Cricetulus griseus: one gene and its partner. The protein of the gene in region 1 purifies or fractionates together with the protein of each later gene. This does not show direct contact. Links are inferred from orthologs where the notes say so. Each region holds a gene or a part of one and is shown on either strand. Other genes may lie near its edges. The genes, in order: Bmp2k and Ap2m1.

Evidence for each region.
Region 2: the proteins of Bmp2k (region 1) and Ap2m1 purify together in Homo sapiens (affinity purification with mass spectrometry; 3 studies listed by BioGRID and IntAct, counting the BioPlex papers as one, with this or other methods). This does not show direct contact. The link is inferred for Cricetulus griseus from reciprocal best matches to the Homo sapiens genes BMP2K and AP2M1.

What each region holds. Positions count from the first base shown.
Region 1 is NW_023276807.1:159,391,558-159,395,374, reverse strand, and holds part of Bmp2k (BMP-2-inducible protein kinase), read right to left. Parts: intron 2,242-3,817; coding exon 869-2,241; 3' UTR 1-868. UniProt on the Homo sapiens protein: May be involved in osteoblast differentiation.
Region 2 is NC_048597.1:68,100,492-68,104,408, forward strand, and holds the start of Ap2m1 (AP-2 complex subunit mu), read right to left. Parts: upstream 2,915-3,917; 5' UTR 2,794-2,914; intron 717-2,793; 5' UTR 674-716; coding exon 600-673; intron 1-599.

The DNA of each region.
Region 1 (3,817 bases):
TTTTTCCTGAAGTTAAATTTCTATATAACCTCTGTCCTCCCACTTTTATCAATATGCTTCGCTAGGGACATGATGATAAAGATTTTGGCAAAACTCCATTCAATGTATTATTTCTAAAGTACCAAATGTTGCTTTTCTTTTTGATGTGTCATTATTTTACATTTTTCAAATGCCAGATATTTCTCTTTACGTTTTTGTTCCAGGCTTCTATTAAGCATTCCATGTTTTAAAAATTTATTTTTGACAGATTAAAAATTGCATATATATTATCATATACATGTTTTGATGTATATACCATAGGAAGAGCTAAATTGAGTTAACATATACAATATTTCATATAGTTTTCATTATAGAGTCCATTATTAATGGCACTTGTTTTTAAAAATGCAACAGAGTTTTAGGCACAATAGTCAGTTACTTCTGGCTCTACATTACAGGCAAGTGTATGAACTGAAGAGCACACTGCAGGCTGTTTCCTCCTGGGTGCAAACATTCAGTCAGCCTGGCTTGAATCTCTGGACCTGGGGTGTGCACCTGTATGACATGATCCCAAGGGATACGATTTCCTGTCCCTCAGTGGCCATACACCTGCGTTCCCAGGAAGCCCCACAGTTGTATCTCTCAGGAGCAAAAGCCCTTGGAGCTTTCCACTTAGGCCCACTTAGGCCTTTCCACTTAGGCCACTTCATGCTCGATGAAGGCATTCCTCACTACCCTGTACAGATACTTACATTTGGTTTGTTTAAAAATCACCTATTCTGATTAACCTGTAAGAGTGAAGGATATACAAATAGATTTTCTTTCAGATTCATAAAACTATTCATACTTTTTTTGAAACAGGAGTTATTGCCGAGTCCACCTGGAGTATCTACTGTTTAGAAGGAAATGGAGCAGCACCAAATGGGTCTAATTCGACTGGTTGGGACTGTTGAGACTCACGTGGTGTAACAAGTTCTGTAAAGGGCACGGCACCGAAGTCATCCATTCTCAATGCGTCTGCACTATGGAATGACCCGTGCACTGAATTCTGTCTTGGCCTCCCAGGCAAGATGGTATTGTGGTCAACACAGATGTCGCTTAGGCCCTGATGGGACTGGTGCCACGACAAGTCTGGAGGATGGAAAGGCTTGGCACCAAAGGGGTCCAGCAGACTCTCCTCGGGTTGCAGGCCACTGCCTCTGTCTCTGCCATCAGTCAGTGCAACGCTGATGTTCTCCTTCGAGTCGGAAATTGTTAAAAACTCACTGCTGCTTTGTGAGTCTCTGCGGCCCACCTTCTTGTGTCTGCGGGCCCTCTCGGGGGTGCGGTAGGGAGGCTTCAGGGGCTTCTTTGAACTGGTGGGTGTGCCGTGGTGGCGCTTCCCATTGCTTTTGGACACATCCTGCTTTGTGCGCCTCTGGCGAGAAGTCAGTTTCTGCAAGCTGCGCTGTTTGACTTTCTGCTGCTGACTTCCGGTTATTTCCTCAAAGGGCACGAGCCCAAAAACATCCTCCCTGCTCTCACTTCTACTCGCTGATGTGGAAAATGGCTGAAAGGGAGTGGAGCCAAACATATCTACACTTCTGGGCCGTGCAGGCAACGGGCGCGTGTCAGGCCCCGCTGTGGGCCAGTCCTGTACATTATTCACCTTCTTGTTGAAGGGTGCCCTTGTGAACACATCAAAGTCCTCCTGCTCCGGAAATGTCTGCTGGGAGAGGTTCTTCCCGTTCCCCCTGTGCTGCTGCTGTGGAGCTTGCACCGCGAAGAAGGGAACCGCACCGAACACATCAAACTCCTGGCCAGGAGTCAGCGCATCAGTCGGTGAACAGGCGGGGGAGAGGAGTGCTGGGTCAGGGGCTGGGCTCCGCCCCCCACCAGTTTCGTACTTGGCTTTAGCCTGTTCATACTCCGAGTCAGAGCTGTGTTTGTCCTCCTCTTCCTCATCTTCAGAGTCCATGAGCAAAGGCCTGTGACCCAGGTTCTCGGGCTCGGTGTCGTCATCATTAAAGTCCCCGTGTTCTCCCTGAGCGTCCTCATCTTCTTGTTCTTCTTCACTGCTCTTAGGAGAAGGGGGGTCCGATTCAAAATCGCTTTCAGATTCGTCATGCCCCTTCTGCACTTGACCCCGAACCGCTGGGTTCTCTGGGGTTTTCTTTATAGCCCGCTGATCTTTACATAGTGGACTTGCGCTCCCATTTTTGGTAGGGTTTGCAGTGATATTTTTTTGATTTGGAGAACGTTCAGTTTTCTTTTCAGGAGAACCTAAAGGTTCAAAGAAAAGTCATTACGGTATTCAGAGTTTCAGTATCCACTTGTACTAAGCACATGACATTACGGACCTCGCCAGGACCCCTCCTGGAGGAGAGTGCCGTTCTTTCTCTGATCTTTTCCTGGGTAGGTGTTAGGGACTGTAATGCAGGCAGTGTGACATATTCTCATCTCCATAGGCTTGGCATAGTCCCTCACTACAAAGAAACTGCATTCACAGCACCTGTACAATAGCAGGACCCTCAATAGGACAAGAATATTAATGGTCTTCTCCACTGTCAAAATCAGACCACCCACTCTCTTTACTATAGTCTCTGCCTACCTACATGTCAGCATGTTGTTTTCTGTGTTATGTCTGCAATCTGCTCTCTAAAATTGAGTATTTTAAGTTAGTATCCATGTGTCTCACATAGACTGATCAGAGCTGAGAACCAACTCTGACACAGCCACTATCAAAGACACTTAATGAGACTGCACCAAAGCTGTGTGCCTTCCATGGCAGGCACATCTTTAATTAAGAAACCTTAGTTTATCTGAGAATATGCTACTGGTCTTCTGAACTGGGTGTTTCCAGAGGTGAGAATCAATTTGTATTGATCCAATTACACACACTTATCTCTTCCTCTCCTTATTTAACTAAGGGTTTTTTCCAATTACTGAGGCCTGCAAGTACAATATGTACTCATAAAAACTAATTAGCTTATGGTGGAGGAACTATCACTTTCCATCATGCACACAGTGATCTCTGGCATGGTGGCCTCAGTTATTTCCTTCTCTTCAAAATCCACACTGTCATGTTTACAACCCTGTAGACCTCTTTCTTCCACTAACACTTTAAACACCTTAACTATATACATTCCCCCAGAGTTCTAGCTTTGGCTGTTTCTCCTTCCATATTCTCTCAAGTTCTAAACTGTACAGTGACTGCCTTGTTCTGGTTGACACTAGTCTTCTTAACTCGACTCTTAATCCTAAATTCCAGTTTGACATCTCTAATACTTAGCTCCTGTGACTATGCATCCTACCAGTACTTGAAAGGTGGGAATTTCAAGGCACCACCTCCACTTTTAGGATGTATTCATCTCCAGTTCCCGCTAAATTAACTTCACCTCCACCTATATGCAGGCCTCCTGGCCAGCAGATGTCCAGACCATCTCTGTACCAGTTATTGTAGCTTTGGTTTCTTGGATCTACACCATTCTCTCTGGTTTATTCATTCCCATATGACCCCTCCCAGAGTGACTCAGTTTCCCAGTGTGCTTCCCCTCCTCACCATTATATGGCTAGCACTCACAGGACTCTCTAGTTGCTCTGAAACTTTCCACTGTGTGTGCATTCTACCCTGCCATGTCTTCAGCTACCAAGAGTGAATGCTTCTGTGATCCTTCAGTACTATAACCACAGCTGGGCTCTTCCTATGAAAACCCAGCTCCTGAAAACTAGGCATCAGAGTCAGGAACTCAGCAGACTTCGGGAAGTCCAGAGAGCTTTGCTGTCCCAACATCTCTCAGTATGAGAGCCCTTCTACCTCCCCCAATCCATCCGAAGGGCTTGTGAACATGTATTCACA
Region 2 (3,917 bases), on another chromosome or scaffold:
AGGAAGTACCAGAGGAGCCTAGCCTCAGGTTAGAGCAGTGGAGGATCTTAGTAAGCAAAGCGCCACGGTGTAAGGCAGAGAAGCAAAGCTGCAGGGAGCTCTCTGTAAGGTCTAAGGGACTTAGGACATGGAGAGAACTACAAAGGCAGCATGACCCACAGAGCCCTTCAAGCCTGTTCACAATCAGAAAGGGCCCAGAAGTGAAAACAGCCAAGTCAACCCACCAAAGAGGATTTTACAGGGATCTAGGGAAGACTCTCAATATGAGAAGCATTTTGAAAGCAAGATTTGGATGGATTAGTGCCTCGCCCTGGTACTAACTACACCCACTGGAGATAGATAGCGCTCCCTCCTGAATGGAAGAATCAACCTGACTGGGAAAGCACTCATCGTTAGCAACCAGACCTAACCCTCAGAGATACAGGAACAGGAAGGGCGGGGATTCATTCCTAAGCCTGGCAGCTTGGGGGGAGGGTGTCATTCCGAGGGCCCGAGTCTCGATGCTAGGCCAATGGCTAAATGGAAACCAGGCTATATTGCATGCTCAGGCTGAGGTGACAGGGAGGTTGGGGTACAGCATGCTCAGCCAAGGAACTTACCCGATGTCATCTCTGTACACCCGGGAGATGAGCACCTCCCCCTTGTGATTATAGATGAATAAACCTCCAATCATGGTGGCAGCTCAGTCTCTGTGACCCATTGCTCTGAGAACAGACCTATGAAGGAAAGGTGGGGGTAGGGTAAGGGAAATCTTCAGAACCCTTGCCCAAGCCCCCAGTGGGGCTATACAGGCTTGGCTTTTTTCCTGACTCAGTCCTCTAACAAGTGACCCTGCAGCTTTCCTAGGGAAGCCCCACCTCCTCAGCTAGGCTCCAGTTCCTGTTTATTCCACACTGGATAGGAGAAAGCAATTTCAGAGCGTGGGGGCCCATGATTAAGGTCACATTCATCTAGTCTTTCCCAAGGGTTGGGCCAGAGGGTAACCCCCACCCCTTCTTCACAGTGCTGAGCTCAGCAAGGATTCTTTCCAACCCCCTGCTGTGCAGGCTCCAATTCAGGCTCCTTCCAGTGACTCACTGAGAAGGCCTGCCTGCGGTTGCAGAAATGGCAGTAGAAATTACTCTAGTTGGCTTGAGCCTGGGACCTCCACCAGGCACAACCTTAGAGCAAGCACTAACTCTTCCAGGAAGGCAGCAGAGCATGAACCTCTAGAAGTCTACACATTCCAGGAAAGGGTGTGCAGGAGGGGGTAGGGGAGGGAAAGCAGGCCCATGGAGGCAGGAAAGTGGCTGAAGCAGGTACATCTTTCCCAGGCAGTGAGATAAGCAGGCAAAGGAGCAGAGGCCCCCAGTGCTGACAAAACACACTTCATAACCCAAGTAGCTTATTATAGTTCTTCCTAAAAAAGATTTTATTTTACCTTCATGTATGTACATGCCAGTGTGTGTGCTGTGTGTATGGAAGCTGGATGTGAAGCAGTGATGAGCCACCTGACATGGGTGCTGGGATCTGAACTCAAGTCTTCTGGAGGAGCAGTAAGTACTCTTAAATCGCTGAGCCTCTCCTACAGTAATTTCTGGTCACTGTCCTTTCAAAATTTTGAAGTGCATTAAAAATAAGGTCTGTGTGTAGCATTAACCCTCCCATCTAAATTATGATCTACCAGTAATTCACTTCAGGCCTGGTATTTAGAAACAATGGGCAGGGATCATAGAATGCCTCAATTGTCCAAAGTATTTGGGTCAAAACTAATTTAGACTATTGGAGAAAAGGGGTTATCTGGTTCTAGATTTTCTGGATTAGCCCAGGTATTAATTTCACAGGAGTTAGTTTAACAGACTTTCTGAAACTGGAAAATAAATCCAAGACCAATGACAAGTCTCTTAAGGTGGTGGACTCATTTGCATCTCACAGTTCCAAAGAAGCTGAGAAAAAAAAAATGTAAAATGGAGGTTGAGTCCTGAGCAAAGGACTAAGTCCACAGGTAACAAGCAGAAGGTAGCTCAGGGCACTGGAACCGCGGATGGGGGTTGGTTGTACTTGTGTGTGTCCTGGACAGACATGGAATATTTAGTTAAGGGAATGGTTAGCTGTAATTGCTAGCAATATACTAGGGTGACCCCACAGCAGCTAAGACGGCTGTGCGAGGCCCTAAATTAGTTCTCATATAGCAAAGGTCATAGGTGCTTTTGAGGAGCAAAAATCGGCGGAGACATACTGACAGTAGAAAAAGGGAAAGCTGAGAGACAAGGCCTACTCTGCGGTTAGTGAGGCTTGAGAAGCCGGTGGGGTTTTCTCAGCCAAGGGAGGAGATATCCAGGCCAGGGAGATGGCACCGCGGCATGCGGGGGCTGTCACAGGTCTGAGGAGAAAGAGCCGTGGGGGTTAAATAGGAGGAAGGAATATCCCAAGGTTCGAGACCTGTCACTGTCCAAGGGAGTGGCACAAGGGGATGTCACTGTCCTGGGGGATGGGGGAGATGGGACGCCTCAGGGCTGAGCGCTGCCAGGATTCTAGGGGTGGGGGCGCCGCGCGGCGTCCTGGCTCTAGGATTCGGGCCCCTGTCTCTCCCCAGAGACGCCCGGCGGGTCACTGGAGGGCGTCGCTCCCCGCCCTTGCTGCAATCGCGCCCGAGGCACCTCCGCCCGGTCGTCCGCTCCCTCCCGGGTCTGAAGGCTGAGGCCACTCCCGGGTGCGGGCAGTTTTGCACCCAGGGCAGTGCAGGGCACGGCCGGGGTCCACGGCGCCCTCGCCAGCCCGGTAAGGATCGGTAAGTCCAGCTTCCCAGCTCACCTGGAGTCAGCAGCCTCCACAAGGCCGGCGGGCCACTCTCGGATCCCAAGATGTCCGCCCGCCCCCTGCTCGCCTGTCCGCTGCCTCGGCTTTCACTGCAGTGCTCCCGCCCCGCCCCGCCCCGCCCTGATCTCAGCTGCGCCTGCGCACTTGCCTCCAGCGGCGACTACAAGTCCCGTCAGCCCCCGCAGCTTTCAAACTGCTAAATCAGAGCGCCCTAGGTTTAGCAAAACTACAACTACCGACGGCCTTCGAGAGAACCGACGCGAGCCTTAGTGCGTCTTGCTGGCAACACGCGTCATAGTACACTCCTCCCATTCATTTGCTTCATTGAGTATCATGGGAAGTGTAGTCTCTGCAATCCTTCCAATTCCTAGTTAGATTGTTTCGGTAGGCTTTGAGAGATCAAAGCTGTTTGTCCAAACCAGTTGTAAATTTTGAATTACTGTAGTCTGTAATTGTCTTCAGATTCCGAAGACTGGCTATCTTCACTTTACAAACAGAACTTGGCATGAGCCTGTTAGAGCTGAATTCTCTGCTTTTTAACACCAGGATTGATTCTCCCAAGGTAGGTGTCGATTACAATCATGACTGGGCCTCTCCCAGGGCTAATTATCCAAAGAGAAGAGTGGGGAGGGCAAATCTTGGCAAAGCTAATTCTTGGCAGAACTAGGTAACGCTTTTCTCAGCTAAACCTGTGACTATGTGTGCTGGTGGTGCACTCCTTTAATCCCAGCACTGGGGAAGCAGAGGCAGGAAAATCTCTGTGAGTTCGAGGTCAGCCTGGTCTACATTGGGAGTTCTAGGACAGCCAGGGATACATAAGAGACCCTGCCTCAACCCCACCTCAATTTAGTTGGGCATGGAATTAAGAAATTCCATCTCTCATGTTATCCAAACTGAGAGAATGAGGTGGAGCTAACCCTGGACACAAAAAGCCTGCCTGGTTCTTGCCAAATCAAGAAAATGTGGTTCTTGTCCCTCTGTAGGCAGAGACATCCTGTTGCTGAGCAGGCCCAAGACTTCTATATGGTGGAAAGGAATGGGGTGGGGTGGAATGGGGAAATCTAGTTGCTAATCTTACTATTCCTAGCAACCTCCTTCCAGAAGCCAGGACATAACAG